4 linked regions of the Arabidopsis thaliana genome follow. The protein of the gene in region 1 interacts with the protein of each later gene in a biochemical or structural test. Each region holds a gene or a part of one and is shown on either strand. Other genes may lie near its edges. The genes, in order: AT2G16250, AT1G51890, AT5G49770 and AT4G29450.

The links.
Region 2: the proteins of AT2G16250 (region 1) and AT1G51890 form a complex in vitro, tested with the Arabidopsis thaliana proteins (one large-scale study listed by BioGRID).
Region 3: the proteins of AT2G16250 (region 1) and AT5G49770 form a complex in vitro, tested with the Arabidopsis thaliana proteins (one large-scale study listed by BioGRID).
Region 4: the proteins of AT2G16250 (region 1) and AT4G29450 form a complex in vitro, tested with the Arabidopsis thaliana proteins (one large-scale study listed by BioGRID).

Annotation. Positions count from the first base shown.
Region 1 is NC_003071.7:7,038,371-7,045,942, forward strand, and holds AT2G16250 (Leucine-rich repeat protein kinase family protein), read right to left. Parts: upstream 4,985-7,572; 5' UTR 4,564-4,984; coding exon 2,597-4,563; intron 2,306-2,596; coding exon 2,180-2,305; coding exon of another isoform or gene 2,176-2,179; exon of another isoform or gene 2,052-2,175; coding exon 2,029-2,051; exon of another isoform or gene 1,944-2,028; coding exon 1,312-1,943; downstream 1-1,311. Other genes in the region: AT2G16270 (uncharacterized protein), read right to left, coding at 7,374-7,457, 7,537-7,572.
Region 2 is NC_003070.9:19,273,715-19,281,925, forward strand, and holds AT1G51890 (Leucine-rich repeat protein kinase family protein), read right to left. Parts: upstream 5,085-8,211; 5' UTR 4,815-5,084; coding exon 4,745-4,814; intron 4,651-4,744; coding exon 4,113-4,650; exon of another isoform or gene 4,026-4,112; coding exon 3,547-4,025; intron 3,466-3,546; coding exon 3,321-3,465; intron 3,241-3,320; coding exon 3,169-3,240; intron 3,075-3,168; coding exon 3,003-3,074; intron 2,910-3,002; coding exon 2,826-2,909; intron 2,710-2,825; coding exon 2,579-2,709; intron 2,499-2,578; coding exon 2,251-2,498; intron 2,128-2,250; coding exon 1,869-2,127; intron 1,774-1,868; coding exon 1,584-1,773; coding exon of another isoform or gene 1,580-1,583; exon of another isoform or gene 1,497-1,579; coding exon 1,088-1,496; 3' UTR 919-1,087; downstream 1-918. Other genes in the region: RHS6 (root hair specific 6), read right to left, coding at 1-175, 273-408; AT1G51900 (Regulator of Vps4 activity in the MVB pathway protein), read right to left, coding at 6,170-6,827, 7,064-7,212, 7,302-7,535, 7,626-7,856, 7,946-8,179.
Region 3 is NC_003076.8:20,220,602-20,229,137, reverse strand, and holds AT5G49770 (Leucine-rich repeat protein kinase family protein), read right to left. Parts: upstream 6,470-8,536; 5' UTR 6,279-6,469; coding exon 6,185-6,278; intron 6,097-6,184; coding exon 5,973-6,096; intron 5,872-5,972; coding exon 5,800-5,871; intron 5,724-5,799; coding exon 5,649-5,723; intron 5,562-5,648; coding exon 5,490-5,561; intron 5,393-5,489; coding exon 5,228-5,392; intron 5,132-5,227; coding exon 5,057-5,131; intron 4,958-5,056; coding exon 4,886-4,957; intron 4,807-4,885; coding exon 4,735-4,806; intron 4,648-4,734; coding exon 4,579-4,647; intron 4,474-4,578; coding exon 4,399-4,473; intron 4,317-4,398; coding exon 4,245-4,316; intron 4,146-4,244; coding exon 4,011-4,145; intron 3,937-4,010; coding exon 3,458-3,936; intron 3,376-3,457; coding exon 3,223-3,375; intron 3,136-3,222; coding exon 2,999-3,135; intron 2,918-2,998; coding exon 2,698-2,917; intron 2,629-2,697; coding exon 2,393-2,628; intron 2,315-2,392; coding exon 1,871-2,314; 3' UTR 1,672-1,870; and 1 more. Other genes in the region: AT5G49780 (Leucine-rich repeat protein kinase family protein), read right to left, coding at 32-152, 236-323; AT5G49760 (Leucine-rich repeat protein kinase family protein), read right to left, coding at 8,086-8,536.
Region 4 is NC_003075.7:14,477,835-14,485,628, forward strand, and holds AT4G29450 (Leucine-rich repeat protein kinase family protein), read right to left. Parts: upstream 4,793-7,794; coding exon 4,717-4,792; intron 4,364-4,716; coding exon 3,323-4,363; intron 3,238-3,322; coding exon 3,030-3,237; intron 2,948-3,029; coding exon 2,876-2,947; intron 2,796-2,875; coding exon 2,715-2,795; intron 2,635-2,714; coding exon 2,489-2,634; intron 2,408-2,488; coding exon 2,166-2,407; intron 2,090-2,165; coding exon 1,963-2,089; intron 1,874-1,962; coding exon 1,811-1,873; intron 1,702-1,810; coding exon 1,512-1,701; intron 1,349-1,511; coding exon 1,003-1,348; 3' UTR 915-1,002; downstream 1-914. Other genes in the region: PLA2-GAMMA (Phospholipase A2 family protein), read right to left, coding at 5,232-5,383, 5,512-5,685, 5,753-5,872, 5,979-6,096; PLA2-DELTA (Phospholipase A2 family protein), read right to left, coding at 6,757-6,920, 7,136-7,309, 7,461-7,580, 7,657-7,696.

The sequences.
Region 1 (7,572 bases):
AGTAATAAGTTAGTGTAAGGGTTGGGAGTAATATAGTATAATTAATTGGTTAGTGAACAGAAGTTTATGCAGAATCCCAAAGCTCATAATCACATGTGCTGATTTTACTACAACCCACTTGCTGACTTCTTTGCATGGGTTTCCCCATTGTTTACAGTATTAATCATATTTTTGGAGATTTCTTTCAAATTTTGTTTGGTATGGAATAATCTGTCAAATAGCCAATTAACAACCAACTTATTAAATCAATGAGAATTGGCAAAAATAACCCAAGAAAATAATATTCCGCTGTCCAATTTCTTATAAGATGTTTTAGTTAAATCACATATATTAAGAAACTTATGTTCTTTACAAAATATTATTTATTTATTTAAAACAATTCAACCAATCGTGGCAAATATTGCATATAACAGAAATGATTAGAAAATATGAAAATTTATTTTAAGTTTTAATATAATGGACAAAAATAAAATACATAAGAACATCTTATATATTGGGATATAGTTTAGCTATTTAATCATTCTAAGTTTCTAACCATGATAGATTTGGCAAAAGTAACTCATTAGAATTTCAATTTTTGTTTGTAATGTTGTAATTTTCAAATTAAGTTCAGTGTATGAAATAATTAAATATAATTACAGGTAACTCAGACCAAAAATCCTACAACTTCAACATTTTGGTTCATACGTATATATATTATAAGTTTACGTCTCTAAACATAATGGTTCTATGGTCTAGCGGTTAGGACATTGGACTCTGAATCCAGTAACCCGAGTTCAATTCTCGGTAGAACCTTTATTTTTACTTTTTGTCCCAATATGAATCAAAAGCTTCCCACGTGCGAATGAACTAGTCAACAATATTCACACGTACGAAATCAGATCCAACAAAAGGAAGAAGTATCTTTCCTTTCACTTTTTGTCCAAATACATATCAAAAGCTTGCCACGTGCAAATGAAATAGTCAACAAAATTCACACGTACGAAATCAGATACAAGAATAATAAGTAATGGTGGAACTGAAACAAATGTAACCCAACTTTTTTGTTTTGTTTTGTTTTCTGGTCTTTCAATAAGAAAGAAACCGAAAACAAAACCCAATCTCCAAGAATTTTACAATTTACAAAATCCACGTTTGAACCAAAAAACAAAAACAAAGAGTGAACTAACATTTCTAACTCCCACCAATCCTAAACCCAAAAACAAAACAAAAGAAAGAAAAAACAAATCCTCCTCCCATCTAACATTATGCTACCTTTGAGGACTCTCTTTGCCTCTGTTATTATCGACACAAAAGAATCGATGAAACGAATCATAAATTATCCTCTACTACTCCATAAGCAGCAGGTTCCGGTACAATCTCACTAGATTGCCGTCTTCTCGACGACGATGAATTCCCGTTGTTGTTATTGTTCCTTCCGCTACTTCCTTGCGACCCCGAGTTTCTCAAACCATTACCACCACCACCACCACCACCACCGCTTGTTGTTGCTCCCGCTTGAACAGCTGTTACATCCGACGCACTCTGCCTCCAGCTCCCAAATATAGCAGCGTTCCAAGACCCTCTCGACGAGTTTGTTCTTAACCGGGAAGAGCCTGAACCCGAGTTGGTATCTTCTCTTACTACTTTCAGTGGGTTCTCAAGTGCGTTCACAATGTGTCTCATTAATGGTCTTCTTGTTGGTTTTGGGTTTAGGCATGACTTTGCAATGATAGCCATTGCCCATACTTCTTCTAGAAGGTCTTCGTCCACCATTAATGACGGGTCTAAGATCTTGGTTACTAGTTCTTTCTCGTTTGTGCTGATGTATGGCAAAGCTTCTTCCATGTACTCTTTTGCAAGTGCGTTGTCTGGCGAGCTAATCCCGAGCTTCCCCGTTACTAGCTCAAGTAACACTTTGCCAAAGCAGTAGACATCATACGAACATATTGCATTTGTTACACCTGAAAAGAATAAACCAATCAGATGTCTATCGGTTAATCGGAGATGGTATATCCTGATGAAATTTTTATTCTCCTAAGTGTATACCTGAAGAAGATGGTTCACTCGATCTGCAAGAATAGGAAAAGAAGAGACAGCGAAGCATTAGTAGGTGCCAAGACAACATACAGAGTCATGTTAGGGAATCAAAGTAAAACAGAAAAGGACCAGAGAGTTTGTTAATGTAATAAGCACTTACTGCGGTAATCGAAGTAAACGAGAAATTCTGCTTTGATAAGCATCACCTTGAGCATATGCCTCGCTTAGGCTTCCAAGACGTACCTCAAATTTATCATCAAGAAGTATGCTACTTGCTTGTACATCCCTATTTAACATTGAACACAAACACACACATGAGTTCTCTCGCTTTTCTTCTTATCAGGCAATAGAGCATAGATCAACAAGAAGTAATTTAGGAGCAGGTGATGTCATTGGGCTTCTCCATCTATGAAACTATACACTAACAATTCTTGAATAGATCTTACTAATTATGAACATGAAAGGTTATATGATACTAAAAACAGAATCAACAAAACAACTTCCAATAGTCTTGCTATGTCAATGCTTTAAAAAATATCAAGATTATATTACGAGAAGCTGAGCAGGAGAGTAGTACCTATGAACTAGAGGCGGTGAACACTCATGATGCAAATAAGAGAGTCCCTCAGCTGCACCAAGAGCAATTTTCAACCTTGTTATCCAATCCAAAGACTTCAATCCATCACCTTCGTTTTCGGATTTCCTGAACAAAGAGCTAGCCAAATCACCGTGTCTCATAAACTTGTATACCAAGAACTTTTGGCTCTCATTCTCCAAGCAGTGTCCCAAAAAGGGAACCAGCCTCTGGTGTCCAGCCTTACTAAACAACTCCAGTTCTGATATATAGCCTTCACTTTTACCTTCCCGCACATCGATCTTTTTTATAACAACGGGTATACCATTTTCCAAGAAACCACGAAACAGATTCCCCGAATGACCACGTTTTATCAGATTAGCATCATTGAATTCCTCTGTTGCCTGAAGAAGCTGCTCATAAGAAAATGCATTTCCAAGACGTGACAAATCAAAGGTTTGTGCTCCTTTAGGTGGTTGTTGTGAAGCTTCCCCGGCAGGTTTTGGCCTGTCGTTATTTCCTCTTTGTGCCGCTCTGCGTCTATGGCGCATGCATAGAACCAGAATAATTGGCAAGATAACAAAAAGAAGAATAAAAGCAACTCCACCACCCACTGCTGCCAATATAATTACTGTTCTGCGGCTTATCCCTGAAGAAGCATTTTTCGATGTCGGTTGTGTCAAATTAGGACGTCCGAAATCATCAAAATCTAATCCTCTAGACTTATAGAATGCTGCACATATTGCTGACGGCTTCTGTCTCCTCTCATTTCGAAGGCAATTGCTTGTAACAGACACATTTTCCCCGGTCACATAATCAGGAAGCTTACCTTCGAAATAATTACCAGAGAGGTCCATTATCCTGAACCGTCTAAGAATCGGTGTGAGCTCTCCATAGAATGTGTTCGAAGAGATATCAACCATTTCAGCTATCTGGTCTGAATCATAACTAGAATATGGCAGCAGTCCTGTGAAGTTGTTCTTAGCAATGTCAAGAATCCGCAATTTTGGCAACGACCAGCACACATCAGGTAGACTACCAGAGAAACCATTTTCCCTCAAAACTAAAGTTTGCAGTTGGCTCTCAGCACTAAACAAATCTACTGGTAAAGTACCACTCAAAAGGTTATCGCCAATCGCCATTAGCTGCAACTTACTTAACTTTCTTAGCTCCTGAGGAACTGAACCAGACAATGAATTGATGCTGAGATCAAAGTCAACCAGATTGACAAGATCACCAAGCTCTGAAGGAATCGGAGACGAGAAACTATTGCTTGAAAAGTTCAGATGGATAAGCTTTGATAACGCTCCTAAACCAGGAGGGATAGGTCCAGTAAGGTAATTGGAAGAAACATCAAGAGTCAACAGATTCTTCAGAGAGCTAAAAGATTGAGGAAGAACACCAGTGAATGAGTTCCTAGAGAGATCAAGCTGTGATAGATTCAACAACTGTCCTAAACTGCTAGGAACTAAACTAGTAAGACTGTTCTGAGACAGATTCAAAGTTCTTAAACTAGTGAGATTACCAAGAGTAAAAGGAACAACACCGTTAACAGAACACGAACTAAGATCCAATACTTCCAATGCCAACAAACTAACACCAAACCACTCAGGTATAGTCCCCGGTAACGCTAACCCGGACGCGTTAAAATACGACAAACGAGTTAGATTACGAAGAGGATCAACAGAGAATTGTGGGTTTAGCTTACCAATTCTTGTTCTCCTAAACCCAGAGATATTGATCCCAATGATACTACCATTCTCACATTGTATACCTCTCCAATCAACACAAGGGTCACCTTTAATTGGCCAATCTGTTCCTCTTAACCCTAAAGAAGACCTGAGATTAAGCAAAATGAGTTTCTCACTGAATCGACTCTGTGTTTGACCAACAACAACACAGTCGAAGAACAGTACCAAACACAACAACAACAAGACAAAACCCAATGCGCTTCTTCTTTGATCAACCATTGCTTATCAAACTCAATCCAATGACCCATCAACACTCATCACCCAAACCCAGAGAGAGACAGAGACTATTTTTTTCAGGATTTAAGCAAAATACCCAATTCAACAACCCTAATAAAAATAACGTCTTTCGATCTTTAGAGAGGAAGAAAGAGACAGATATCGAACTGGGTTTGCTCTGTTACTGGATCCAATTACAGCTCCTACCTTCACAGACATTAAAGCACCTCTCTTTCTCTTTCTCTCTCTCTCTCTAAATCCTAATTTATGAGAAGAAAAAGTAGAAATTTTTCACTAATCCTTAAAATCAGACAAAACAAAAAGTGATTTGTTGAGTGAAAAAAATCTTTAGAGAGAGAAAGAAAGAAGAAGAAGAAGAAGATCGAGATTGTTGAGATAACAACTGTAGACTGTGACACTCCTCTCTCTCTCGTCTTTGCAAGAAACTTCGAAATTAATTTATTATTAATTACAAATCTGATTAATTAATAATTTTGAAATTAGATTAAATTAAAACCTAGTGTGGGGTAAAGTGACGTCGTTTTAATGTTTGGTTTGACTTTCCCGGTAATCCCGCCATAAGCCAGCTAAGCTGTTGCCGCAATTACTATTTGGGATTTTTTCTTTCCTTCTTTCCTGTTTTATTATTGTTGTAAATTTAATGTTCGGATATATAAGGAGTAATATATCTCACGTCCTATATTCACCATTCTTGGCCGAATAAAGGAATCTTTTTCTTTTCTTGCTAAAATTTTCTAAATACTCTGAATTTTTTGGTTCGAATGGTAACGGCAATCAGAATAGATAAATTCATCGATAATATAAGTGTGTTTTATTTTCAAGTAGATAATAAATCGTTGTGGATCAATCTTATTTGTATGTAAAAATGGTTTATGATTGGTTTACGGCAGTTTTCTTAGTATATATTATTATAGATTCTAATTTATGATTGGTAAATTAAAAGCGGTTTAATCTGCATAGTATTTGTCCGTCTCAACCGCTGTAATCATTTGCATTTTAAACAATTTATTACAACATATAATCATATACAGTACAATAGAAAATTATCAACTAGAAAAACATGTGAAATGTTGGCAACTTTCTTTCAAAATATTGGATGAAATATTTATCGGTTATAGGATTTTGTAAAGATGTTGAAGTATTCTTTTTAAAAAACAATGATATTGAATTTTCTAGCTTTTTTGATATGATCCAAAAATTTGATATATGTTTAGTTTAAAATTGATAGAAACAAATTCTCTATTGTAGAATGTTCAATTTAAACAATGCCAATCGAATGAAAATATTTAGTTTTTTTATTTAATTTTACTTGAAAAATGAATGATTATGTTAGTTCAAAGTCTCACTATGGTTTATTTAGAAAATAGTGATTAAGTAGACATTAATAGAGATGAATTTTTCTTGAGCTAAAAATTTCTCAAAAGTTTTCTCAAAATATATGAACAAGTGATGTGAAATTTTCTTAAACTGTTTATTAATTTTCATATGCTACAGTTGCGTATATGATTTTATTAATCGTTCCAATTACTGTTATTTCCATAGAAAAGTTTTCTCTAACCTCGAGCTAGTTAAGTCATAATTGAGGATATTTGTTCGGGAAGAAAAAGCAATGAACTATTCATCTTTCGTCGGATAACAAATTTACATCACTACCTAATTTTTGTTACATATCCCGCATCGCTATTAAATAAATCCAACGTGTCCGAAAGTACAAATGTTGTTTGTATCTGTGTTTTCCAGTTCAAGATCATATAACTAACACATGTCCTCTTCGTGAGACCCCACACATACAAAATAAGCCGTCAAATCTAAACCATCGGATCAGAGCAAGATTATTTCGATTCTGGTGACGTGGCACAAATCATGCGTCCAAGAGAGTGTTTTGGTCACAGTTCTAATCATATTTCTGAATGCATGTTAAGCACCGAATCAACGTAACCATGGTTTCGCGCTTCTATATAGAACCGTCGTCGTCATCATCTTCCTCAAATCTTTGGACGTGGCTTATGCAGACAACGAGTATCGATGCTTCGTCGGAGGTTTAGCTTGGGCCACCGATGAACAGTCTATAGAGAGGTGTTTCAACGAGTTTGGTGAAGTTTTCGACTCCAAGGTCCGTTAAAGTGTGACTCTGTTTTTGTGTTGCTCTGTTTCTCTCTTTGTATCATAAAAATCTCGACTTTATATGGTTTATGGATTGGATCAGATCATCATTGATCGTGAGACCGGGAGGTCTAAGGGGTTTAGATTTGTGACTTTTAAAGATGAGGATTCCATGAGGACTGCGATCGATAGAATGAATGGTCAAGAACTTGATGGTCGTAACATTACTGTTAACTAGGCTCAGGCTCGTGGTAGTGGTACTCGCGGTGGTATGGTTGGTGGTTACGGAAGTGGTGGTTACAGAGGTAGACGTGATCAAGGTGGTTACAACCGTGGCGGTGGAGGTGGATACGGTGGTGGTTATGGAGGTGATCGTCGTGAAGGTGGTTATGGAGACGGAGGTTACGGTGGTCAGGGGCGATCTGAAGGAGGAAGCTGGAGAAATTGAGTCTTGTGATGTTTAGTCTCATGCTTTGTTACCAAAAAAAAAAAAAAAGTCTCATGCTTTTGTTTCTTCTTTTACTTTAAACGACTGAGACTGACACAAAGAAACAAACTTTGGATTGAATCACAACTAGTTTGGTACAAATCAGAAGATTTTAAGGAGTCATAAAGCTAATTCTAATTCTTAGGAAACTAAAAAGATTGCATAGTGATGCAATGATTGAAATGAAATGTCTATCTCTTTATCATAGACCAGAACCAGAAGGTTTGTTGTTCTTAATCCGGCTTGAACGTCTCACTGGTGTAATCATCTCCTCTTCTTCTCTACCCTGTGAATATATAAAATGGGTTAGTACTAAAACGATGCAAAACGTGTACTTTACGTGATCATTGATTGATGGTACTCACACTTTTGATGGGTATCTTCTCGTATGTTGTGAAACT
Region 2 (8,211 bases), on another chromosome or scaffold:
GGGAAGCTTCTTACGGTCCAAGTTTGTTGCTGAAGCTGCGCTTTGTACTCAGCACTGATCCTCCCGACCAATCCACTATCGATGTAATTTGCATCTGATTTGTATGTTATATTTGTCGTCTTCTCCGTATAAGTTGCGTTCTTAGGGACTAACCCACAATCCAAACTGATGAATCCTGTTGACGATCAACACCAAAATAACAAATTTAAAGAAACAAATTCCAAAAGGGTTTCTTAATCTATAGAGTAATCGAAGAAACAAAAAGTAAGAACCTAATTGATCTTGAGCTTGAACTGATTCCAAAATGACATAAGCTGTGATCAAGAAGAGCAAAAACCCATGAATAGACTTCATCTTCTTCTTTTTTTGCAGTGAGTGCTCTGATTCAGGGAGGTTATGATTATTCATTGATCATTGTTCTTGACTGGCAAGTATTGAGATAACATTATATTGGTCAATTGATTTGGCATTCATAGCTTGTGTAAGCTGTGTGCTAAGTCTTCAACATTAGATTCTTTTATTTTATTCAGGTGATTATTATAGTAACACATTACGTGTCTACGACATTCTTTCCGCTTTCAGGCGTTGGAGAATTTTCAAATGTATATTATTAGGTAGACTTCTAAAAAAAGATGTGAAATCAATTGTTACATTATTTATAGGTTAAAAAACTTTAGCAGATTTTAAATGAATCAGTCAATTTAAATCAGATAGTAAATTTTAATTTTTATGGAGGCACGTTTATTTTTGTATGTGATATGAACTCTAGTGAATTATACACGGACCATGTCACATTTGACTCCAACAACGCTTTCATGCGTTCACTTTGAATTTGTATGAGTCCGAATTTCTTGCAAACTTTTACTTCAAAATCATGAGAACAGAGTAATCAAAAAAGAGCATCCAAGACCATGCGTTGATGACTCATACATAAACTAATATTAAAGATATAAATTTCTTGGAATCCAAGAATGTTACACATAATAAAGGCTAATACATTTTGAAGAAAATTCACAGAACTATCTTAAACATTTCAATATGAACAATCGATTATAATAAACAACAAAGCTTGATAACACAAAGACTTTTACCTAGCTAAAGGGGAAAAATCAGAAGCAGAAGATGGACTAAACTCAACAGATTCCTTTATGTACGTCGCTTGACTACCTTGTTTCCTTTCTATTTCCAAAGCAAGACATTCGTTTAGCTCCATCACCACGTGTGGCATTGTCGGTCTACGGCTTGAAGACGGGTTTACACAAGCTAAAGCCAACTCTACAACCTTCCACACACCGTTTGTGTCATAGTCTTCATTCAGTTTCGGGTCGACAATACTCTTGATATCCCCATTGGTAAGCATGAACATAACCCATTCATTGATATGAGGTCTCTCTCGGTTTTTATTCATCACAGGCTGGTTTGTGACTATCTCTAAAAGCACTACACCAAAGCTGTACACATCACTCTTCTCGCTTAGCCAGTTTGTTCTGTAATACCTGAAAAGAAGAGTATCATAAAGAGAGGTTACAGTTCCCAATTCTTCATAACTTATTTCAGTACAAGAAACAGATTGATTCACTCACTCAGGATCTAAGTAACCAGGTGTTCCTGCAACGACTGTCATGACATGAGATTCACCATCAACAGGAAAAGATCTCGATAGCCCAAAGTCGGCTAGTTTTGCTTGAGACCGCTCATTTAATAAAATGTTGGTTGGTTTCACATCTCTATGTACCATAGGAGGCCTACATCCGTTATGCAAATACTCCAATCCTGTTACAAATAGTTATTGTTTATGTCAATCTTGCTTTCAGACTACCACACAAATTGTTGTGAATGAAAAGTATATAAGTCATAATTTAGTTCACCTTGTGCTGCCTCTACAGCTATTTGCATTCTTGTTTCCCAGCTTAGGACATTGACACTGTGTTTTCCTGTACCAGGCTTTGAATGTTTCAAACTGTCTAAGGAGATGGATTCAACTAAATTAAAGTGCTTACCTGACATATTTTCCCTCAGGTCTCCTTTTTCCATATATTCATAGATCAGAGCTAAGTTGTCTCCATCATCACAGTAACCAACAAGTCCCACCAAATGTCTGTGATGAACTCTTAAAAGAAGTTCAACCTAAGAAAGAACAAAATCACCATTCATGATTGAGGAACCTAATGCACTTTAAAAACAATTAAGACTAACATATCCATTTCTTATTAAAAAAAAAAAAAACATATCCATTTCTTGTTAAAGTACCTCTGCTTTGAACTCTTTATAACCTTGAGCTGATGAATGAGAAAGCATTTTCACAGCTACTTGAGTATCATCCAAGTTACCATGATACACTGTTCCAAACCCTCCTTTACCAAGAACTCTCTCAAAGTTTTTAGTCATCTTTAGTACCTCCGAATAAGTGAACTTGCGTTCCTTTGTTATGATTGATGAACTCGATGATCTTGCATCACTCTTAACCGTGCCAGTAGTGAATGATCGGGGTCCTGAAGCTGTAAAACCTAAAGGAAGTGAGTATAAATCTGACAACTTTCATTTTCATTATTTTCAAGACCTATTCTAGTGATCATACCTTCATTAGTTCTCTGTTTTTTCCTTATGACGACAAAAACGATAGCCAAGATAACTAGCACAGCAAACACGCTAGCCACTGATGCTGCGATAGCAACTACATTTGTACTATTTTTTCCGGTTTCATCTCTACTGCAATCATTAAAGGTGATGTGGAATCGAATAGAAGGTTAGACACTGTTTCATAGGATTCTGAAATACTTTCCGTGACTTGAAAAGCTTGAGACTGAATCCACTGAAAATCTTACATTAGTGTTAAAGATTTGTTATCTATCCTCTTCTGAAGAGTCTCTGGAACTGAGCGATTTAGATTCTTGTTTCCACTCAAGTTTCTGCAAATGACAAAAATGAATCTTTGAGAACAGCACACAAAGAGCAGAGCGACCAAGAACCAAGATAAATATATTAGTCATTTAGTAGCTCACATGAGTGTCAAATTCTTCATATCAGAAAAAACAAATGGAATATCTCCTGATAAGTCATTGTTTGATAAATCTCTGCGCATTAAAGGAAAAAAATAAATTTGTTATACACAATACACCATATCATATACTTTAAGTTTATTAGTGTGTGACAGTTTCGGATTCTTACAGTTCTCTCAAATGTGTTAGCTTGGATATATCAGATGTTATGGTACCACTCAAATTGCTTCCACTCAAGTTCCTAATAGAGAGTCCAAAAGTTAGAACTTGAGAAAAAAAACTCGAAACTAAAGAATTGTGAGATTAACAAGCAAAACATACAAGGATATGATCTGCGGTGGCGCAAAGTTTGGATAACTACAGTTTAAACCTTCCCATCTATATAACTCAGGAGCACATGGATCTCCTTGCCAGCTAGACCTTTTGCTCAATCCATATATTGTCTTGATATTCATCATAGCGGAAACTGATCAATCATTACATTTCAAAAACTTCAAAGACATGAACTCTTGGTAAAAGAATTGGTTTAAGAACATGCTTAACTTACCTTCATCTTGGTATGTATCAAGCTGTGGAAGCTCTAGAACTTGATAAATCTCAAGGCCGTTGATAAGAGGAGGATGAGTAGAGTTACCGGTCATCGAGAAAGTGAAGTTGAAATTCCCATCTAGAGAACTCACAGCTGCTGGATTGTATACAGTTGTTATACGAAACTTTGGAGGTCTAAAATAGGAGAACCAATTTTCGCCACCATTGTAAGTAATATTGAATTCTCTGGTCTCATTAGCTTCAAGATTCTCGATTTCAGCGAAATGCATGTATATATATGACTGTGAAGTGATGTCGTCGAGACTCCAATTTATTTTCAGAGGCTGAGTAGCATTTAAAGGGACAGCAGCAGTTTTCGCTACAGTTTGAGGCACATTGTAGAAGTTACTTGTATCAACAGAGAGTTCCGTGCTTAACAAGGAATTTTTGTTATCTAAGAATGGAATCCAAATTCGGTCATGGACGTCCTCATCATACCTAGAGAGAAAGGCTCATTTTGATAATTTAACACAAACAACAAAACAACTAGTATGAAAATAAAACCTTTTTGGCTCATTTCTGTACCTGAGAAATGGTGGAGTGGGTGAAAAGTAAAGTCTTGCGACCACAATAAGCGATCCACTTTTTGTGACGTATGTATTATTGTTCAAAGGACGAAGTTCCAATGAAGAAATAAACGGTGTAGTTTCTCCTGTTTTCACAAGACAAATTTGAAGATGGTCTTGTCTTAAGACATGGATCATCTCGGAGACTGAACCATTTCTCACTCCGGGGATCGAAACAGAGGTCCATTTGTTTGGACCGATGTAAAGATCAAAGCTCGGGAGTTGATTCAAACCGTCATAATTCCCATAGATAAAGGTTCCTCTGATTAGATACTTACGTTTTGCGGTGAGACTGAAGTTGTAACAATTTCTTTGACCCTCAGGGAAGCTTCTCAAGGCCCAAATTTGTTGCTGAAACTGTGTTCTGTACACTTCATTGATCTTCCCGGGAACTCCACTGTCGATGTAAGTTGCGTCTGATCTGTATGTTATATTCGTCGACTTTTCCACATAAGTAATTTCCGTAGGCACCAAACCACAATCTAAGCTTATGAATCCTGTTTATGATCGAAAAAAACAAACTTTTAAGAGGTTTTGTTGATCTGAAAAGGAAACAAAACATCAAGATTTCATGAAAACAGAGTAAATAACCTGATTGGTCTTGAGCTTGAACCAATCCAAGAACTGCGAAAACGAAGATCAAGAAAGACAAAAACCTCATGTTTTTTGGGGATGTTTGTTCTGAATCAGAGGAGGCTATTCATTTTTCATAGGTTCTTGGTGGGTAAAGATTGACATAAGAGCAAAGTATTGGTCAATTAAGATGGCCAAGTCTTCTTCTTCAACATTAGACTTATTCAGGTGATTGTAACAGCACTCTTATTTGCCTACGAAATTATGTGTCTTGTGGAAATGTTCAAACTAGAATTGGTGGCAAATATATAAAAACAAAATGAGAAATCAAACGAAAGTAAATAAAGAATGGAAAGATACAAACAAAGAAAGTTGCAGAATCTTGCTTAAACAAAACAAAAATACCCAACTTGCCTTCCAAGCTTCCAATAAAAGCAACTATAATAACAAAAAGAGAGCGTAAATAAACTACTAAACAATCGTACTTTTATTTTGTGTGAAAAAAATCTCGATATTATAGTTCGTTGACGTATATTGTATATATTTATTTGGAATTATTTTGACAAATTTCGATGTGTTTAAAATTCTTTTTAAAAAATAAAGTGAAGAAAAATTAGAAAAGAATAAGTCAACTTAGGTGATTTTGATTTTTGACGTCGTCGTTGCCTATAATATTCATTTCTGAAATTTCTAATATTAAGTGTGGAAAAAAACTCGATATTATAGTCCGTTGACGTATATGGTATATATTTATCTGAAATTATTTTGACAAATTTCGATGAGTTTGAAATTCTTTTTTAAAAATAAAGTGAAGAAAAATTTAGAAATTAATAAGTCAACTTAGGTGATTTTGATTTTTGACGTCGCCTATAATATTCCCTTATAAATCCATGACTCAAATCTGGATAATTTTCACTAAATTTTATGACTAAGTCATTTGATTGCTTATTTAATTAAAAACGAGTAACATAAACTTTTTTGTAAGATATACCCAAATTGGTAAAATGAATCAACATATTTTATACGGTAACAAAATTAAAGATCTCATATACACTATTTTCATTTTCGATTATATAGTACATCAATTAAGACTTCATTCAAAAAAGACTGAGCTGAAGCTTTAAATAGCTTTCCAACCTTAAAGTTGGTCCGACTCCGAATCAAAACCAAAAAAAAAAACTAGCGGTTTGGTTAATTATCTTCGTCTTTCTTCTTCTTCTTCTTTTTGGGTTAATAATCTTCGTCTCTCATTCTTCAACACAAAAAGAGACTTTGAATCCTAAATTGGACTGTGGAAAATTCAAAAAGACAGAGGCGAAGCTTTAGTTAGCTTTCCAACCTTAAGGTTGGTCCGACTCCGAATCAAAAAACCCTAGTGGTTTGGTTATAGTCTTCTTCATCTTCCTTTTGGTGTTGATAATCTTCGTGTCTCATCCTGGAAGCTTAGGATGAACTGTGTTTGGTTAATAATCTTCGTCTTTCTTTTTCTACCTCCTTCAGGAGTTTAAACTTAGTAGCAATCTGGTCGTAATCAGGAAGCTTAGGATGAACATGTTTTGTTGCTAATCTTCGTCTTTCTTCTTCTTCCTTCTCCAGCACTCTAAAGCGAGTAATCACTTGGTCGTAATCAGGAAGCGTAGGCTCAAAGTCTTTGGGTGATAATCTTCGTCTCTCGTTTTCTTCTTCCTTCTTCTTTTTAAACTGAGTTAAAAATTGTTCGTATTCATGAAGCTTAGAATGAACACGTTTGGTTGTTAATCTTTGTCTTTCTTCCTCTTCTTCTTCCTTCGTCACTTTAAACTCATTGTATACTACATTATGGCAACAATGTGGTGATGTTGATGATCTTCTTCTTCTTCGATGCATCCCTTTTTGCCTCATGTAATACGTCAAACTCTCCATATCCCTAAACTCTGTTAGTGGTGATAATGGTGATGATGAGGATTTTCTCTTCTCTTCACTACTTTCTCTGAATCTGAAGACTCTTTGATCTTTTCCGACTTGAGCCTCTTCTATGCAACAATCTTCCATTGATGTATCTTCATTGCTTCTCTCTTCTTTGATATCGGTGAGGCTAAATTTGTACACCTCGTGTTTGTGACTGACCAGCAGATCTAATATCCATTACTTTCTTTCTTTCTCTTCATTGACCTAAACACAAGCGTCCAAAATATTATGAAACCGAAAAACAAAAACAAATATATATCTACTGATCTTTACTAATACAATTAACAACAAAATAAAATCACCTGTTTTTCAATCTCAGGTCTATATTCCGGCCTTGATATTCCTAAAAGGTGGCCGAGCTTCGTCGTTTTTTAATCCAACATTCTACACTTCACATCTTCCATTGATGTATCTTCCTTGCTTCTCTCTTCTTCATCATCCGTGAGACTAGAATATGTCTCCACCTCTTCTGGTGACTCATCATCATATCTAATATCCATATCCGTATTGATTACTTTCTTCTCTTCCTTTTCATTGACCTAAACACACACAAGTCCAAAATATTATGAAACCAAGATATATATCTACTGATCTTACTATAACAACAATAATAAAAAAAAAAAATCACCTGTATTTCAATCTCAGGTTTATTATATTGCCGCCTTGATATTTCTAAACGGTGACCGGACTTCTTCAATATATCATCCAACATTCTACACTTCAAAGCTTCTATGTAATCATCTTCCATTATCTCTTCTTCGAAATCGGTGAGGCTAAATTTAGACACCTCGTGTGGTGACTCTTCATAACATCTAATATCCACATCTGGATCCATTACTTTCTTCTCTTCCTCTTCATATACCTAAACACATGCCACAAGTCAAATATTATGAAACCAAAAACAAAAAAAAATAAAAAAAAATATCTAGTGATCTTTTTATTAAAAACTAACCTGTTTTTCAATCTCAGGTTTATATTCCGGCCTTGATATTTTTAAATGGTGACCGGACTTCTTCATTATTTCATCCAACATTCTACACTTCACACCTTCTATGGAGTCATTTTCCATTATCTCTTCTTCCAAATCAGTGAGGCTAAATTTATACACCTCGTTTGGTGACTCTTCATAAGATCTAATATAGATATCCGGATCCATTACTTTCTTCTCTTCCTTTTCATATACCTAAACACACACAAGATCAAATATTATTAAACCAAAAAAAAAAAAAAAAAAAACTGATCTTAATCACAAAATAACCAAAAAAATAAAACCTGTTTTTCAATCTCAGGTTTATAATATTCCGGCCTTGATATTTCTACACGGTGACCGGAATTCTTCACTATATCATCCAACATTCTACACTTCATATCTTCTCTGTAATCATCTTCCATTATCTCTTCTTCGAAATCGGTGAGGCTAAATTTATACACCTCGTGTGGTGACTCTTCATAACAACTAATATCCACATCCGGATCCATTACTCTCTTCTCTTCCTCTTCATTGACCTAAACACACATAAGTCCAAAATATTATGAAA
Region 3 (8,536 bases), on another chromosome or scaffold:
GAAGAAGCAGCAAAAAAAAAAAGATACTTACATGTTAACAACGCGGCCATATTCACATGCAATTCCAACCCAATTGGTTCCACAAGGATCATAGCCTTTCCAATTCCGAGGAGGTATGGTCAAACTACTCTTCAGGTATTGTAAAGCATCAGCTGCAACAATTTTGAAACTCATTCAAACGACTTTGAAATTCCTGTATCTGAAAAACTCTGATCATCATCAAACTATAAATTACCATCGAAACCATTTGTCTGCGCAGATACAGAACAAAATTGGAACGAAAGCAAGATCAAGAGCACAAAGACTTCAATTCTTGAACTCATCTTGAGACCCACAAAGAATCTCTTTTTCTCTTTCCCTGCTTCTGACTGTATCGGAAAGTCATTCAATGAGAAAGCATGTGATTTGCACACGTTATGACATAGTCTTGAATACAAAAATACAGCTTCCTCGCTAACAAAACATTTACATAATATTGTTAAACAAGAAGGAGAAGACTTTGAATAATGTAAAAGTAAACATATAAATAATAGAAATTGGCAGTGGATCATTTAAAGACTAGTTCCACTTGATAAAATATGAGAATGCTATTAATGGAAGGTTCGGAAAATGTGGTTAGATGGAAATGCCACTAGGGTTAATGGGAAAGAACCAATTATGAATATAAGATTATTAGAAATTTGAAATCTATTTATTTTGAAACAGAGGGAGTAGTTATTTTGAAAGGAAGGTAATTTTTTTTGTTTTGTCCAAAAAAAAAAAAAAAGGGTAATTTTGTTTGCTCTGCTTTAACTCCAATATTTGGATATTTTTTTGGATCAAATCGACCCGAAATATTGAATCAAAACGGAACCAACGTGATGATCAGTTATTGTGATGAGAAACTAGTGTCTCATTTTAAATATGATGTATTAAAACGCTCATTAATGATTCAAACATTTAAAGAAAAACGAAATCTACAAACTAAAAACGTTAGATATGATTGGCTTGCCCAAGACGGTTCAGGTCAGCGAAATAGTTTTCTAACAACAACATGGTCAAAGTCCTGGAAACAATCAGCGTAAGCTTTTACCAACTTGAGATAATATACTAATTGCAGTACCGACGATGCTGATATTTTGATGATATATTGACCAGTACTCCGTTCCAAATAAAATATAGGTTTTTGTTTTCTTTGTTTTTTGTTTCTTGCAATTCAAATGATTATAGATTAAACAATTCACTATATTTTCTCTTAAAAAAAAATTTTCAAATTAAGTGATTTTTTTTCATTTTACTAAAGAAATTCTATTTTTTGTGACCATTTTTATTTTCATATTGTGTCAGTTTTTTTTTAATTACTAGATAAACAGTTTAATTTTATGGTAGAAAATCGATTAATACTGTAATAGTAAACCGTAAAAAACCAAAAAGTGTGTATACAAGTCTGTTATTGAAAGTATTCACTTGATTACGAACGAAGTTAAGAAAATCATAACTACAACATGAGAATAGAGAAAGATCATCCGTTCGCGGATTCAAGAAGGACACACTAGCATCCTTGCTTGGCACAGTATATGTGCGTGGGGATACCCGTAGAGACATGACAACCGGACTGCTGAGACAACCTCAAAGAGAGTATATTCAAAATCCGGTGATTAGATTTATTTAGTATCATGACAACTTAGGGTTGCTTAGGGTTGATGTTTATTTTGATTCCAATCTTGTTTACACTTTATAAGCAGCGACCACAAAACAACATATATCAAAAATCAAATCATGCTAGTACACACACATTCACACGGCATTTAAGGTTGTAAAGTCACTTACAAAATAACCAAAAAACAAAACAATAAAAAACTGAGAAAGAACAAATTAATCAATTATTGCGTTAGGGTTTTGGAGTTGGGAAAACCCCAGTGTACTCAAACGAATCCCTACCATAAGGATCACCAGATGCTTCCTCGTATGTTGCTGAATCGGCGTTAGGGTTTAATCCAACAAGCCGCAATATGCTCTCAAGTTCTTGCACCACCTCACTCATTGTTGGCCTATTAACTCCCTCTGGCTCCACGCATTGTAGAGCCACATCTACATACTTCTCGAACCCTTTCAAATTCCCGCTGTTTTGGATAATTGTCGTGTCCAACAATTCTTGTAAGTCATACAAGTTCCTCGATTTATCCATCTTCTTCTTTACCTCTTTCACAACATAGCTGCCTCTATCTATCGGACTTTTACCGGTTAATAACTCAAGCATCACCACACCAAACCCATACACATCGCTCTTCTCCGTCAATTGATTCGTCATGTAGTACTCAGGATCAAGATAGCCCTAATTAATTCCAGAGATATTGTTAGTTTTTATAGTTAATGGTTTCATATATTTTATGATAGATTCTTTTTTACTCACCATGGTTCCTTTCACTTGTGTTGTGACATGAGCTTTTTCAGGGTCCCCCACAAGTTTGGAGAGACCGAAATCAGCAACCTTTGCGGTTAGATGTTCATCAAGTAATATGTTATTTGATTTGACGTCTCTATGTATAATTGGAGGATCAGCAAGCTCATGAAGATAAGCTAGACCCTTCCCTGAGCCAAGTGCTATTTTGAGCCTTCTTGTCCAATCCAGTTTAACCCCATTCTTCCCTACATTTGTTTTTCAAGTTCAGCACCAAAGAACTAACAAAGCAAGATATATAGAGATTAAATATATACCTGATAGACCGTCTCTAAGGGACCCATTAGGTATGTACTCGTATACGAGCATTTGTTCTTTTTGATCAAAACAGAAGCCCAAAAGCTTAACAACATTTTTATGATGGACCCTTGAAAGAAGCTCAATCTCGGTCTTAAACTCGAACGCTCCTTGCATGGATCCTTGTTGAGCTCTTTTGATTGCTATGACTTGCCCATTGGGAAGGGTACCTTTGTAGACCTGTTTCACCATCAAATTGGTATTATAATTTGAACTACTACCTCTGGTTGTTTCAGTTGAGGACATTGGAAATACACAAACCTGGCCATAACCTCCACCGCCAACATCATTTGCATCTGAAAAGTTGTTAGTACATTTGCTAAGCTCTTCGAAAGTAAAGGCTTTTGTTCCCATTAGTTGTGGAGCATCCATTTCATTCTTCCCCGCATCCCACTTGGCTACAACAGACAAACGAGAAGCTGTCAGGATTTTCATAAGACAAGAGAAAAGTCTTTTGTTCTAGTGTTAAACCATTTTTCTTTTACCAAAAGGATTCATTTGATCAGTTGCTCTCTGAGCTCTCTTCTTCTGTCTAAGAGCGTAAATCCCAGCTAAAGCCAACAGCAACAGAAGAACTACAACACCAACTACTACTCCAATTATAACTTTCATACTTACTGTCTTGGAATCTTCTAAATCTGTGAAACAAACAAGGCTTATAAGTAAAATGAGTTAAATCAATATAGATTTCGTTTGAGTGTGTGTTACGTTTCATCATACCAGAGAATGTTTTGTACTGATCGGCGACGAAAATATAAGGACCAAATCTTGGAGGAGGCTTATAATCCTGAATGGTAAATGCAGAATTAATAGAGTCCATTTCCGTCTGATTAAAGCGGTCGCGTCCCGATGGAAAGATCAAGAGATTTATCAAAAGATGATAATCAGTTGGATTCTCGCTTATGTTTCTCATGGCCACAGAGTCTACAGGATACTTGCCATTCTTAAAGAAAGTCATTAAACTCTCCCCAAACTTTAGGAAGTTACTGTTGTTTGAAAATCCGGAGAATGAAGGAGACCTTAAGGTGAATACTCCTGTAAGTGGATACACACAGTGGCAGCCTTGATTCGGTTCCTTACCTTTACCACAATGATTACCACATTTTGTTAGGGTAGAAAATGTGGAATTTGGTTGGACTGCATTGCAGTAGCCACTCAGCTGATTCGCCGGGTCTTGGCACACTTGATTATCTGCCAACCTATGGATATATCAACACACATACGTAAGTTATTCTTCAAAGATGTTACATATTGGTCAAAGATGAATACATACATTACATTGACGGGGTTATTAGCTGGTGATTTATAACCAGTTATGAAGTTGTCTCGTAAATCCACAAAATCCAATTGTTTGCTATAGTTGGTACCAAGGTCCAATGTTGTGTTTATAAGATTGTGCTTTAGGGAACTGCAAGTCAAGAAAAACCATCCCAATCAGTACATGTTTCACAAATCTTTGAGTTGACTTTCCAATTGAACATTCATGATCATGACTTATTTGACTCACACAGTTTGCAATTGAAGAGGGCTAAAAAGGGAGGTTGGTACTGGACCATCAAGTTGGATATCTTCCAACCTTCTGCCAAGTTGAAGACCATTTTTTCTCATTATGTATGCTCACAAATCTATATATATCTAAAAAGAGAGAGGAATGCTCATACAATGTTGACAAAGAGTTTAAGAAAGGGATCCATGATGGAACCGGTGATAACGCCAACGGGTTATTGCTCACATCCCTGTTACATAATAATCATATCATGGCATTAGATTGATTATTAATAAGAAAGGTTTCTGATGCTAAATTTGAGCAACAAACGAGGAAGAAAAATATTGAAACTTACAATGTGTAGAGACTGGTCAAGCTGGTCAAATTTGGAAGACTACCTGTAAATTTGTTGTCGGACAAATGCCTGAAATGGATTCAACTACAAGATCTTTTACATCTTTTCATTTATATATCTTAAGAAAACAGAACAAATCTTTATTTGCTCACTTACAGTTCTTGAAGATTTGTGAGATTATTAAGACTTGAAGGAATGTCTCCACTTAGTCTATTCCTATCAAGACGTCTGTAACAAAGCAAATATCTTATAAGATTAAAGAAATTTTGTGAACATACAGTTTGGAAAATATATTTCTACTACTTACAACACAGTCAAATTTTGAACTAGGCCGAGGCTCTCTGGGATGCTACCGGTGAATTGGTTTCCATCAAACAGCCTATTGATAAAACAAGAACAAAAATGCAATCATCACTTTGTTAGTTTCTAATATCAACTAGTGAAAACTCTCAGCTTTTGCATGTACTATGAAACTTACACATGTAGCAAAGTCATTTCTGAGCTAAAGAGCTTCTCTGGGATTTCGCCTGAAAGCTTGTTATTACCAAAATGACTACAAAAGAAAGTAAAAGAGAGTCAGAGTGATGAATGTTATATATAAAGAGTAACTAAATAAAAATGAAAACTAAGGATTTGGGATTATATATACAAATGCCCAGTTTGAAGAAGCATGTCAAGTCCAGGTAAAGAAGCCCCATCAGAAACTGGAAGCTTTCCTTCTAACTGATTGTCAGCTATGTCGAACCAATATAGTTTCGATAACCGTCCCATGGAAGCCGGAATTGTTCCACTAAATTTATTTAAATTCAGAGAGCTGTATGGAGGAAACGCAAAGTAATACTTATTATGAGTTTTAAAGATTACATTGAAAAAGTGACTGTTTATAAATTATAAGAAGCAACAAATCTTACAGTCTTGTAAGTTGTTCAAGATTCCCTATGGAATCAGGGATTGGACCATTAAAAGCACATCCCATAAGGCTCCTAGAGAAGAAAACAACAAAAGAAAAGGCGATATATAAGATAATGCGATTGATGGAATTAGGTTAAGATCTTGTTTACTTTGCTTACAAGAAAGTCAACTTCCTGAGGTTACCGATATTTGCTGGAAGCGGTCCAGACAATTCAGGATTGCCAGTCAAATCCCTGCAAACATCGAATCATAAGATGAGAACTAAATCCATTTTTATGCAAAGGAAAAAGAAGAAGAAGAAAGACCTACAAGGTTTGCAATTCAGACAATGTCGAAATTTCGGTAGGAAGCTTTCCTTTCAAGTTACGGTTGGTTAATGATCTGAAACAAGCAAATAACACAGCTTAAAGTCTGTATATAGAGGATTATATTGAAGAAAGAAGCAGCAAAAGAACAAACAAAGAAAGGGACCAAGGTGTTACATTGAAACAACACGGTTATCGTTGTTACATGTAATTCCAACCCATTCGGTTCCACAAGGATCAGAGCTTTTCCAACTCTTGGATAACGTGTCCCATTCGTTCTTCAGGGCTTGTAAAGCAGTAACTGCACCAATATTGAAAGAATTAAAATACAAAAAATTGGAAATCTTTATCTGTTAAAAGAACTCTGATCATCATCTACTTATACTTACAATCTGAACCATCTGTGAACGCATAAACAGAGTAAATTTGGAAGAAAAGCAAGATCAAGAGCTTAAATAATCCAATTCTTGAACTCATCTTCATCAGACACACAATGATATGTATCACAATTCGTTCAAGAAGAAAGCATGTGGTCTGCACAAGTTATGACGAACTCTAACATAAAAATGCAGCCTCCATGTTCTTTGCTAACAAAGCATGTAAGACATAAAGGAGAAGACTTTGAACAAGTTAAGCGAAAATTTATAAATAAAGCAAACAAATAGACAGTGGACCATATAAACAAATAGTTCAACTTGATATAGATAATAAAGAACCGCTATATATTGCGGAAGGGTTCAAAGGTATTATCCAAGGGAGAAATTGAAATGTCAATACGGTAATGTGGAGGAACAAATTATGAACAATGACTTGGCACAAAACACCATTATAATAGACTAGTCCTTTATTAACTACATAAATAAATCTGTTTACATGATAAAGCATAAATATGCAATATGTAACAAAACTTAACTAAATGATCTAACATTTAATTGTTTCTGCACAAAACTGGGAGAAGTCATGTATATATTATTTGTTTTCCTAGAACGTTTCTTCTCAAGAAAAGAGAGATTTTTGAAATAGAGTAATGGTAAGCGACTATGCACTGATATGGTTTTTCTAACAGCAACATGCAATAAAGTCATGGTCATGGAAAAAATCAGCACAAGCTTTTATCAACTTGAGATAATAATACTAATTGCAACAACAATGAATGATGCTGATGGTTTGATGTTATATTGACCAGTACTTCCTCCAAGTAAATTAATAAAAAAAATATTTTTTGTTTTCAGTGTACCCCAAATTGATTAAAAATTAATCGATTTTTTTTTTTTGCCCATATCATATTCTCCGATCAATATACTCCAAACCGACGGAAAACTCAGAGATGGGATGGGACCTTGACCACTCTGACATATGACCACATCGTCTATTTTTTTCCTACGTATGTATGCTAATGCTATTTGGCCACATCCCACCACTTTTCTTATTTTTTTTGTATGTTATTTTTGTTTTGTTAGTGTTTTAGTAAAAAGACTTTTTGTAGTAAATAAGACACAAAAACATATGTGTGCTTTAATCCTCTTAAGAAACTAATACGATATGACTCCGGTATAAAAAAAGTTATGAGTCTACCGTAGTCTACCGTAAAGAATGGTAAATGGAGGAAACATATCGAGAAAAACTTGGTGCCGGTTCGCTACCTCACCATGAAATATATGGCAGAGTTGCCACACACCACATGTCTTAAATCATGTTTCTTTTTATTTTTTGTTAAATCATGTCATACATTTTGGGGGCGTGTTTGAGGTGTGGACAACAAGGACACTAGATCAGAGAGTGCTCTCAGATGAGACGACAACCATAAATTCACCCTGGGTCATGTAACTGTTGTTGTTCGATGGGATCGTTGATGTGTTAGGTTGCAAACCCAATAACTTTATTACTTTTTTTTCTTATTAGTTAATACTAATTTTACTTACGTACTACAAATTATTTGTAATATAAATTTGTAATATAATCTCATGCATAAATGTGAAAGGTTTGGAGTAAATTAAAAGTGTGTGTGATGTGTGGATTAAATCTTTGAAACCACACAAACTTCTCAACAAGAATTAATATATTCAATTATTCATCATACATTGAGCTTGATTACTTTTCTTATGTTTGAAACTGGTGTCGACATTGCCAAAGATCTGGTGGTTTTTGATTCTGCGTTTGGCTCTCCATTCATCTGCTTTATAATCAGCGACCACATATCAAACAGAATCATGCTACTCCACATTCACAAGGCATTTCAAGTATGAAGTCACTTACGAAATAACAAAATAACAAAAAGAAACATAATCAATCATTGGGGCTCAAGCTTTGAAGCTGGAAAATTCCCACTGTACTGAAACGATTCACTGCCATAAGGATCACCAGATCCTTTGATTGCGTCCTCATACGTTCTTGAACTCGTTGCTGAATCTGAGTTAGGATTTAATCCCGCAAGCTGCATTATGTTCTCAATCTCTTTCACAACCTCACCCATTGATGGCCTATTAACTCCTTCCTCCTCCACACATCTCAAAGCCAAGTCTACATACTTCTCGAACCCTTTTAGATTCCCACTGCTTGCTATGATCGTTGTGTCCAACAACTCCTGCAGGTCATACAAACTCCGAGATTTATTCATCTTTGTCTTCACCTCTCTCACCACATATTTGCCTCTCTCTATCGGACTTCTACCGGTTAATAGCTCGAGTAAAACCACACCAAACCCATACACATCGCTCTTCTCCGTTAATTGATTCGTCATG
Region 4 (7,794 bases), on another chromosome or scaffold:
AATCAGATGGAAATTTTGTGATCTGAGGAAATGGACCTTCACGTGACACGAAGAAAAGTATCAATTTTGGAGAAGACGCAGAAGAAGAGGTGAAATAGAGACGATAAAAAAGAAAAATTGACTTTTGGCAAAAACGGGTTAAATAGTGTTAGAAGATTTTGATTAACGCGTCAAAATGACAATCATGTAAGAAAACAAAAACTCAGAAAAACGAGTTAATGAAAAAGACATGTGTCATGTCGACAGTAATTTAAACAAAAATCTTGTATATTAACATTATTGATTTTGTAAGGTTATTCAAATATTAGATTTTCCAACTTTGAATATCTTTCGTTACTCCAATTAATCCCCGAATCATTTAATATATAAACAATGATTTTTATCAGATCTTCATTAATATCAAAACAATCTTGAAAAAATAATAATTAAGCTAATAAAATTTAAAGCGTTACAAAATAACTAGATATGTATTAAATAATTATAACCGATTTTTTGTATATGTCTAGAGTTAGTGGGTCACATGTTTTGAAATGTCTTTAAATGTAGAGACACCGACAACAGATAACTGAAATACCATAAAACTAAATTTCAAAATTAGCATTTTTTGTATTAGACAAAAAAAACAATTGTTTAAGAAGAAATTAATTGATTTATTTTCAACAAAAATAACATGATAAAACTCTATACAATTTAATAGAAATATATGATTCATCACTCAATTCAAAGCTTATCAATTTGATCTATAGTACGTTAATTTCCTAGATCAGCAATTATGAGAAATATGAATCATTCATTTCATCACAAAACTATTACAAGTAGGATTTTAACGGAATCGACAACGATCGAATTTTATACAAAAGAATTTGAGTAGAAACCTTTTAGAAATTGTAGTCAATCATAATATGAATCTGACCATACAACACAAATAACCTATATAGAAATTATCCAAACCTCTTTTAATCCATTTGGCTTCGTCCTACTTCTCCGTAATCTCTTTGACTTTCACTGGCTCTGTGGCTCACGGTCCAGCTCAGCAGCTAGGCACTGTTTCAGCTCCGCTACGATCTGGTTCATCGTTGGTCTATTCGATCCTTTATCTCTGACGCAAGACATTGCCACATCCACAAACTTCCAAGCTGAGTCCTGCGAGAAGTCTCCCCGAAGCAGCGGGTCCACGACGCCGTCTAGTTCTCTAGCCTCAAAGAACGGCCAAACGTAGTGAATAACGCTGATATTGTCTCCTTCTTCTGTTTTGATGATGGCTCGCTGGCCAGTGATGAGTTCAAGAAGAACGACCCCAAAACTGTACACGTCGCTCTTCTCGTTCAGCACAAATGTTCTGTAGTATCTGTCACCACACGTCGCAAATTGGTTACCATGTATTCCTGATAAACTTAAAAAGGGTCCGAACTGAATTGGCCAACCCTAACCCTAGTCTCACTAAACCGCTCTGGTTTGTGAAGCTACCAGCCAGAACATGTGATCTGTATTGATTGTGAAAAGGAACTTACTCAGGATCAACGTAGCCGGGAGTGCCCATGACGGTAGTCACGACGTGGCTGAGATCGTCTTCAGGGAAGACCTTAGAAAGGCCGAAATCAGCAATCTTGGCTTCCAAGTTATCGTTTATTAGAATGTTTGCTGTTTTAACGTCTCTATGTACTATTGCTGGTCTGCATCCATCGTGCAAATACTCCAAACCTGCCAAGGGGGAAATAAAACCAGGTTTCACAATACAGAACTAGGCTAAACCAGGTTTGGTTTCTTGGTTAAGCCCTGAGGAATCAAGGTTGCCAAAACCGGGACCAACCTTGTGCAGAATCTATGGCTATATGGAGTCTCTTTTCCCAACTAAGATCCTCTGCATTCTCACCTGCATGTCCATAAACATAACACCCGTGAGCTCATAGGAAGCAAAGCAACAATTGGTAACAGAGATATATAGAGAGATAATAAGATGACTTGAAAGATAAGCCTGCAAGTTGCCGTTGGCCATGTACTCGTAGATGAGAGCCATGCTACGATCATCATCGCAGTATCCAACAAATGAAGCTAAGTTACGGTGATGCACTGTCAAAAGAAGCTCTGCCTGCAAACATTTTACAGTACTTAAGCATTTTAATTTCTAAAATATTTGATCATGTTTTTGGTGTTCTTTAGATCACCTCGACTTGGAATTGGTTAGAAGCCCGGGATAATGATGATGATGAAGTTCCTTTAGGTTTTGCCAATGAAGAATCGTTTATCATCTTTACAGCAATTTTAGTCCCATCTTCAAGGGAACCAAGGTACACAATACCAAACCCTCCTTTACCAATCACTTTATTGAAGTTGTTTGTTATGCTAGAGACCTCATTATATGTGAACCTTCTCTTCCCTGAAGGCAGGAGTGGTCCTGAATAGGCTCCTGAAATCAAAACACTCGTTTTTCTCAGCATAAAACAACTTCAATTCATTAATCCTGAAGTAAATATTCCAGCCATCTAACCTTTTTTTCTTTGCCTTAGTATGATCCATATGATAACCAAGACGACAACGAGAACGATCACTGATGCTGCTACAGCTATTGGCACGACCATGCTCTTCTTCTTCTTCTTTTCTTGACATGAGTTACAAAGGTTTTGCTCATCCGCACTGCAAAACAGAGGAAATCACAAGATTCAGAGAGAGTGCTTGTGTTGAATAACTTTCTGAATAATGCTAGAAACTGTTACCTGAGCGTAAGTAAACCGGCCTTTAACTTTTTCATAAGGGATTTTGGGATAAACCCAGTAAAATTGTTTCCTTTCAAATTCCTTACAACACAAGTAAATGTGTCAAGAGGCAAATTCATTATTTAAATAGACCAACACTGTGTATATTTGTGCTTACTTACAGGACTTTCAAATGTTTTAGATCAGCCAAAAACTCAGGCACATTTTGTTGCAGGTCATTGTTGGATAAATCCCTGAGAAAAACAATGCATAACTCTCTGATAGTTCATGTGCATAAAAAGTGGTGAAAAATGTCAATTGTATACGTATACTTACAATGACTCAAGAAGAGAGAGATTTCTAAATGCCAAGACTATTGGTCCTAGTAATCCGCTTGAGCTAAGATTCAGGGACTTGATTTGATGATTATTATTGTTGTCGCTGCATCCAACACCTTCCCAAGGGAATAATCTTGGGGAGCAAGGATCACCACTCCAAACCTTGTTCACTTTATAAGTTGCTTTTATGCTTTCTATAGCATGAACTGCATTACCAAGAGAAAATGTGACTATGTGAGTTTCAGTAGAAATCTAATTCTATCTAAATAGAGATTGAAAGTGGAAACTCACTGTCTTCAATTGTGGTGGAAAATTCATCTAGAGATTGTGCGGTAAAAATCTCTATAGCATTGAGAATCGGTGGAAGCGTTGAATCTACAGTCTTCTGAATAGAAATCCAGTGATCTTTACCAGTGAAAGCTCTTGGATTAGAAAACGTCGTTGAATATTTTGAAGAAGGTTCGAAAGAAGTTTCAGAAACAGGGGAACCATTCCACAAAATCTTGATCTTTCTAGTCTCATTCTTCTCTAGTGTTTCGAGTTCCGCGAAGTAAAGATATGCGTAGAACCGAACATTTGGATCGTCTGATGTCCAGAACAATTCCAACGGATCATCAACGTTTTCAGGAGCAGCAGCTGTCTTAATAACTTCATCAGGTGGACAATAACCGTTCTGAAAAACATCGATATAGCCCGATGTTATAATCGAGTTCCAGGAGATATTTGAGGAGTATGGAGACCAAATACGATCGAATCTATCGTCTTGGTACCGTCCTGTTCCGTTTAAATATCCAATGTCCCATCTTCGATAGAGAACCAAAGAGACATTTCTTCCAAATTCAGTACCGTAGATTGAGCTGTTCACTGGTCGGAGCTCTAACCCTGAAATAAAAGGAGTTCCTTTGCCTTTATTCACAAGGCAAACATATATTGTATCCGACTCTGCAAAGCTTAAAATCTCTTTGGTGACTTGATCAGAAGCATTTTTGAATTTCACTGTCGACCAGAAGTTCACGTTTACATAGAGATCAAACTCAGGCAAAGCTTTTTTACCATCGTAGTTTCCATACATAAAGGAAGCTCTAATGAGATAAAGATGATCTTTTCCTTGTGAAAGTTTTAAGGTGTAACAGTTTCTGTTTCCTTGAGGGAAAGCTCTTACTTCAGCAAGAGTTGACAGCAATACCGGGTTTTTTGGATAGCCGTATTCTTCAGAGACCTTGAAGTTTACGCCGGTGGTTATGAAAGCTTCATCGGAGACGTAATTAATGTTAGTCATAGTGTCTTCAGGGGTATCGTAAGGAGGTATGCCACAATCGATGCTGATGTAACCTGGATCAGAGGAGAAGAAAGGGGAGTTACTTCCAACACAAGTAAAATTGTTTATGACGTCTGAGAACGTTCATGGATAGGTTTAAAAATCTGCCTAACTTCGTTTCTCTATATTGACAAAAACGTAGATCACAACTTTCAAGAACCTTCAAGAACATCGGTCAATTTCAAATTAGAAAACAGAGAAAAGAGAGAATTGTATGATTACTTGTAACACAAGACATTGTATAAGGGTTTGACTAAAAATCCAAGACATGTTTAAAAGACAAAAACTTTTCATAATAAAACTCAAGCTTTCTTCAGTCTGAACCTCGCCTCAATTTCAAATCAAAACAGAGAGGAGAAGAGGGAACCTGATTGGTCTTGGCCGTGAACTAAAATGGTGGTAACAAGGGCACAAAATATGCCGAAAACGAGATTAGCCCTCATTTTCTTCTCTCTTTTTTCAGAAGTTCTTCAGCTTACCATCTTCAGGAAAAAAACAGACTACGTGCGAGTAAGATAAGCTTAATTAAAAGCCAAAAAGTGCAAAGTCTACTCTTTATGGTATTAGCCAGGTGTTTGTAGACTTTTCTTTCATCATTGGCTCAGTAACTATATATATTTCCCACTAAGGACAGGAAGACAACCTGGATTTTATAAGATGGAATTAGTGACAATGTCACGTTTTGACTTTAGTGAAGTTATTAAAGATGTGATTAACATCCAAAATAATAGATAAAATACATAGACTGAGTCATTGATTGCCAGTTGATTTTGATCTGGGACAGAATTCAAAGTCTTTTTTTGTTTTATGAATTTTCTATAACAACGAAGTTACAGAGAGTAGTCACTTTAGAAGATGATCAAGAAATAGTACTAGAAGGGCTCATATATTTAAAGAAGCAGAGACTTTGGAGCCTTCTTTTGTTTGAAGGCCTAGTTTTGTTCCAAGGCCATCCTTTGTGTCCACTTTACTCCGAGCGAGATCCACCTCCACGACGGGCACGCTTCCCAGCACCGGGGGATTAAATATATTACCTGCGCAGAGATTATTCACATATATCTTATCATAAGAAATGTCACAATGTAACAGAAAAAGAGTCATGTGGTTTCATCACTAGTACTAGCTTATATTGAATGTCACAAAATCAGAGCTCAATAATTACCTATCCCACTGAAGAAAATGCCGTAATCCATTCCATTGAACACGGTTGGTATCACTATCGAATAAGGGCATTGTGTGGAGAATCCAATCTTTTCTCCGTTAGAGTGTTTAATAGATTTGCTTAGCTTGTTTACGCAACGTTTGAACTGCTTGTGGCAGTTAACGTAAGTCATACCTAATAAAAACCAAATATTAACTCAAGAATGGTTTTCATGCATAGATTATGTTGTTGATTGGTTTACCTTTTAAATCAACACAATTGTCATGAGTCATACAACAAGCATCAAGATCATCACAAGGTGGCTCTCCAGGACATCCAAAGTAACCTATCCCACAATACTTCCCATAGCGAATACCAAGACCTGAAAACAAAGATTGGATCAAAACATATAATGCATGCACAAGTTTTTTTCTCCAAAATCAAAGGAAGGCATAAGAACTAAGATGATAAGAAAAAAACAATCTTACTGTTGCAGTTCTGTGCAATGCAGGTGTTGCTGCACTTCTCCTGGCTGCTAACGACGGCGAGGAGGAGGAAGGCGGTTAAACCGAAAGCAACACGTGACAAAGCAAGCCCGGTGATCATCTTTCTAAATCTCGCTCTCTGGTTGAAGTTTTTGGGTTTTGTGTTCTTTCAAATTCTGTCCCAAACTATTTTTGGCTCTCTCTGGAATGGAATATCCCATTTTTGGTTGGTCCTCCTGCTTTCTTGTCCTTCCCCTCTCTCTCTCTTTTACGTACACAAGAATTTAAAAAATGAAGAAGTTGCATGACTACCAATCAAATCATCATATTTTATGGACGTTCCTTCTCGAAGAAGCATTATCATGGACGGTAAAAACAGAGTATCATTTTTGTTACCTCTTGGAACAGAACACGTTTAAGCTATGTATTCGCAACGGCTAATGATTTTCTTAATGCAATCTGTTACAAATAGATTGCAGATTAATATGTTTCGATTTTCGTATCATTGCTGATTTTTACATCAAGAAACAACAGAATTTATGTTTGATTTATTAGAAAAAAAAAATCCATATACACTTTTTCTTCTTTTCTACATTTGATTTCTTATATAAGTATGAATTCGTTTTGAATCCTCTCATATCTAGAGTAAAAGAGAAACTAATGTAATGTATAAAATACATGGGAATCATGAACCTGAGAGAATTCAAGATCTTGATCATTTTTCATAAGACAACAAAGTTAAATAATCTACAAAACTTGAGAGTTATGAGTCACCTAATGATCAAGAAGGAGAAGGGTTCATCGGAACAGAGACTTTGGAGCCATCTTTTGTTTGAGGGCCTTGATTTGTTCCAAGGCCATCTTTTGTGTCCGCTTTACTCCGTGCCAGATCCACCTCCACGACAGGCCCGGCACTTGCTGGCTTCTTAGGTATAATGATATTACCTGCGCGAGATTATTCGCATCTTATCAGATTTTAACACTAGCTAAACTAAGCTATTTGCAGTGTAACATTAGAAGACAGTATAGTAAGTGCTATAATACAAAATGTCACAAAACAATGTAACATAAGTAATTCGGTTTCATCACTAGCTTATGGTTTCCGAAGTCTATAAGTGATTCTCATAGTGTTATTAATAAACCAGTGCTTATTTAGTTACCTATCCCACTGAAGAAAATGCCATAATTCATTCCTCTGTACACGGTTGGTATCACTGTTGAATAAGGGCATTCCTTGGAAAATCCAACCTTTTGGTTGTTAGATTCTTGGATTGATTGTTTAAGCTCGTTTACGCAACGCTGGAACTGCTTGTGGCAGTCAACATAAGTCATACCTGTAAAAAAGCACCAAATGCAGCATTCTCAGATCCAAGATGCAGAGTGCAATTAGATTTGTAGTGGACAAAGTAGTTAAAAGATGTTAACTTCACTTTGTGTTTCTCTGTTTATAGAATAGTTTTACGTAGATATTCTTGATTGGTTTACCTTTTAAATCAACACAATTATCATGAGTCATACAACAATCATCAAGATCATCACAAGGTGGCTCTCCAGGACATCCAAAGTAACCTATCCCACAATACTTCCCATAGCGAATACCGAGAACTGAAACAGAGATAGGTTTTGCTTCAGAAATGTTCTCCATGTTCAAAGGAATGCATAAGAAAAATGAAAATCTCACCATTGCATTTCTGTGCAATGCAGGTTTTGCTGCACTTTTCCTGACATTTTGATCCAACCCATCAGAAAGAACTAGCAATAACCATCATTTGGAATAAACCACAACGCACAAACATGAACAAAGAACAGTAAGTGATAT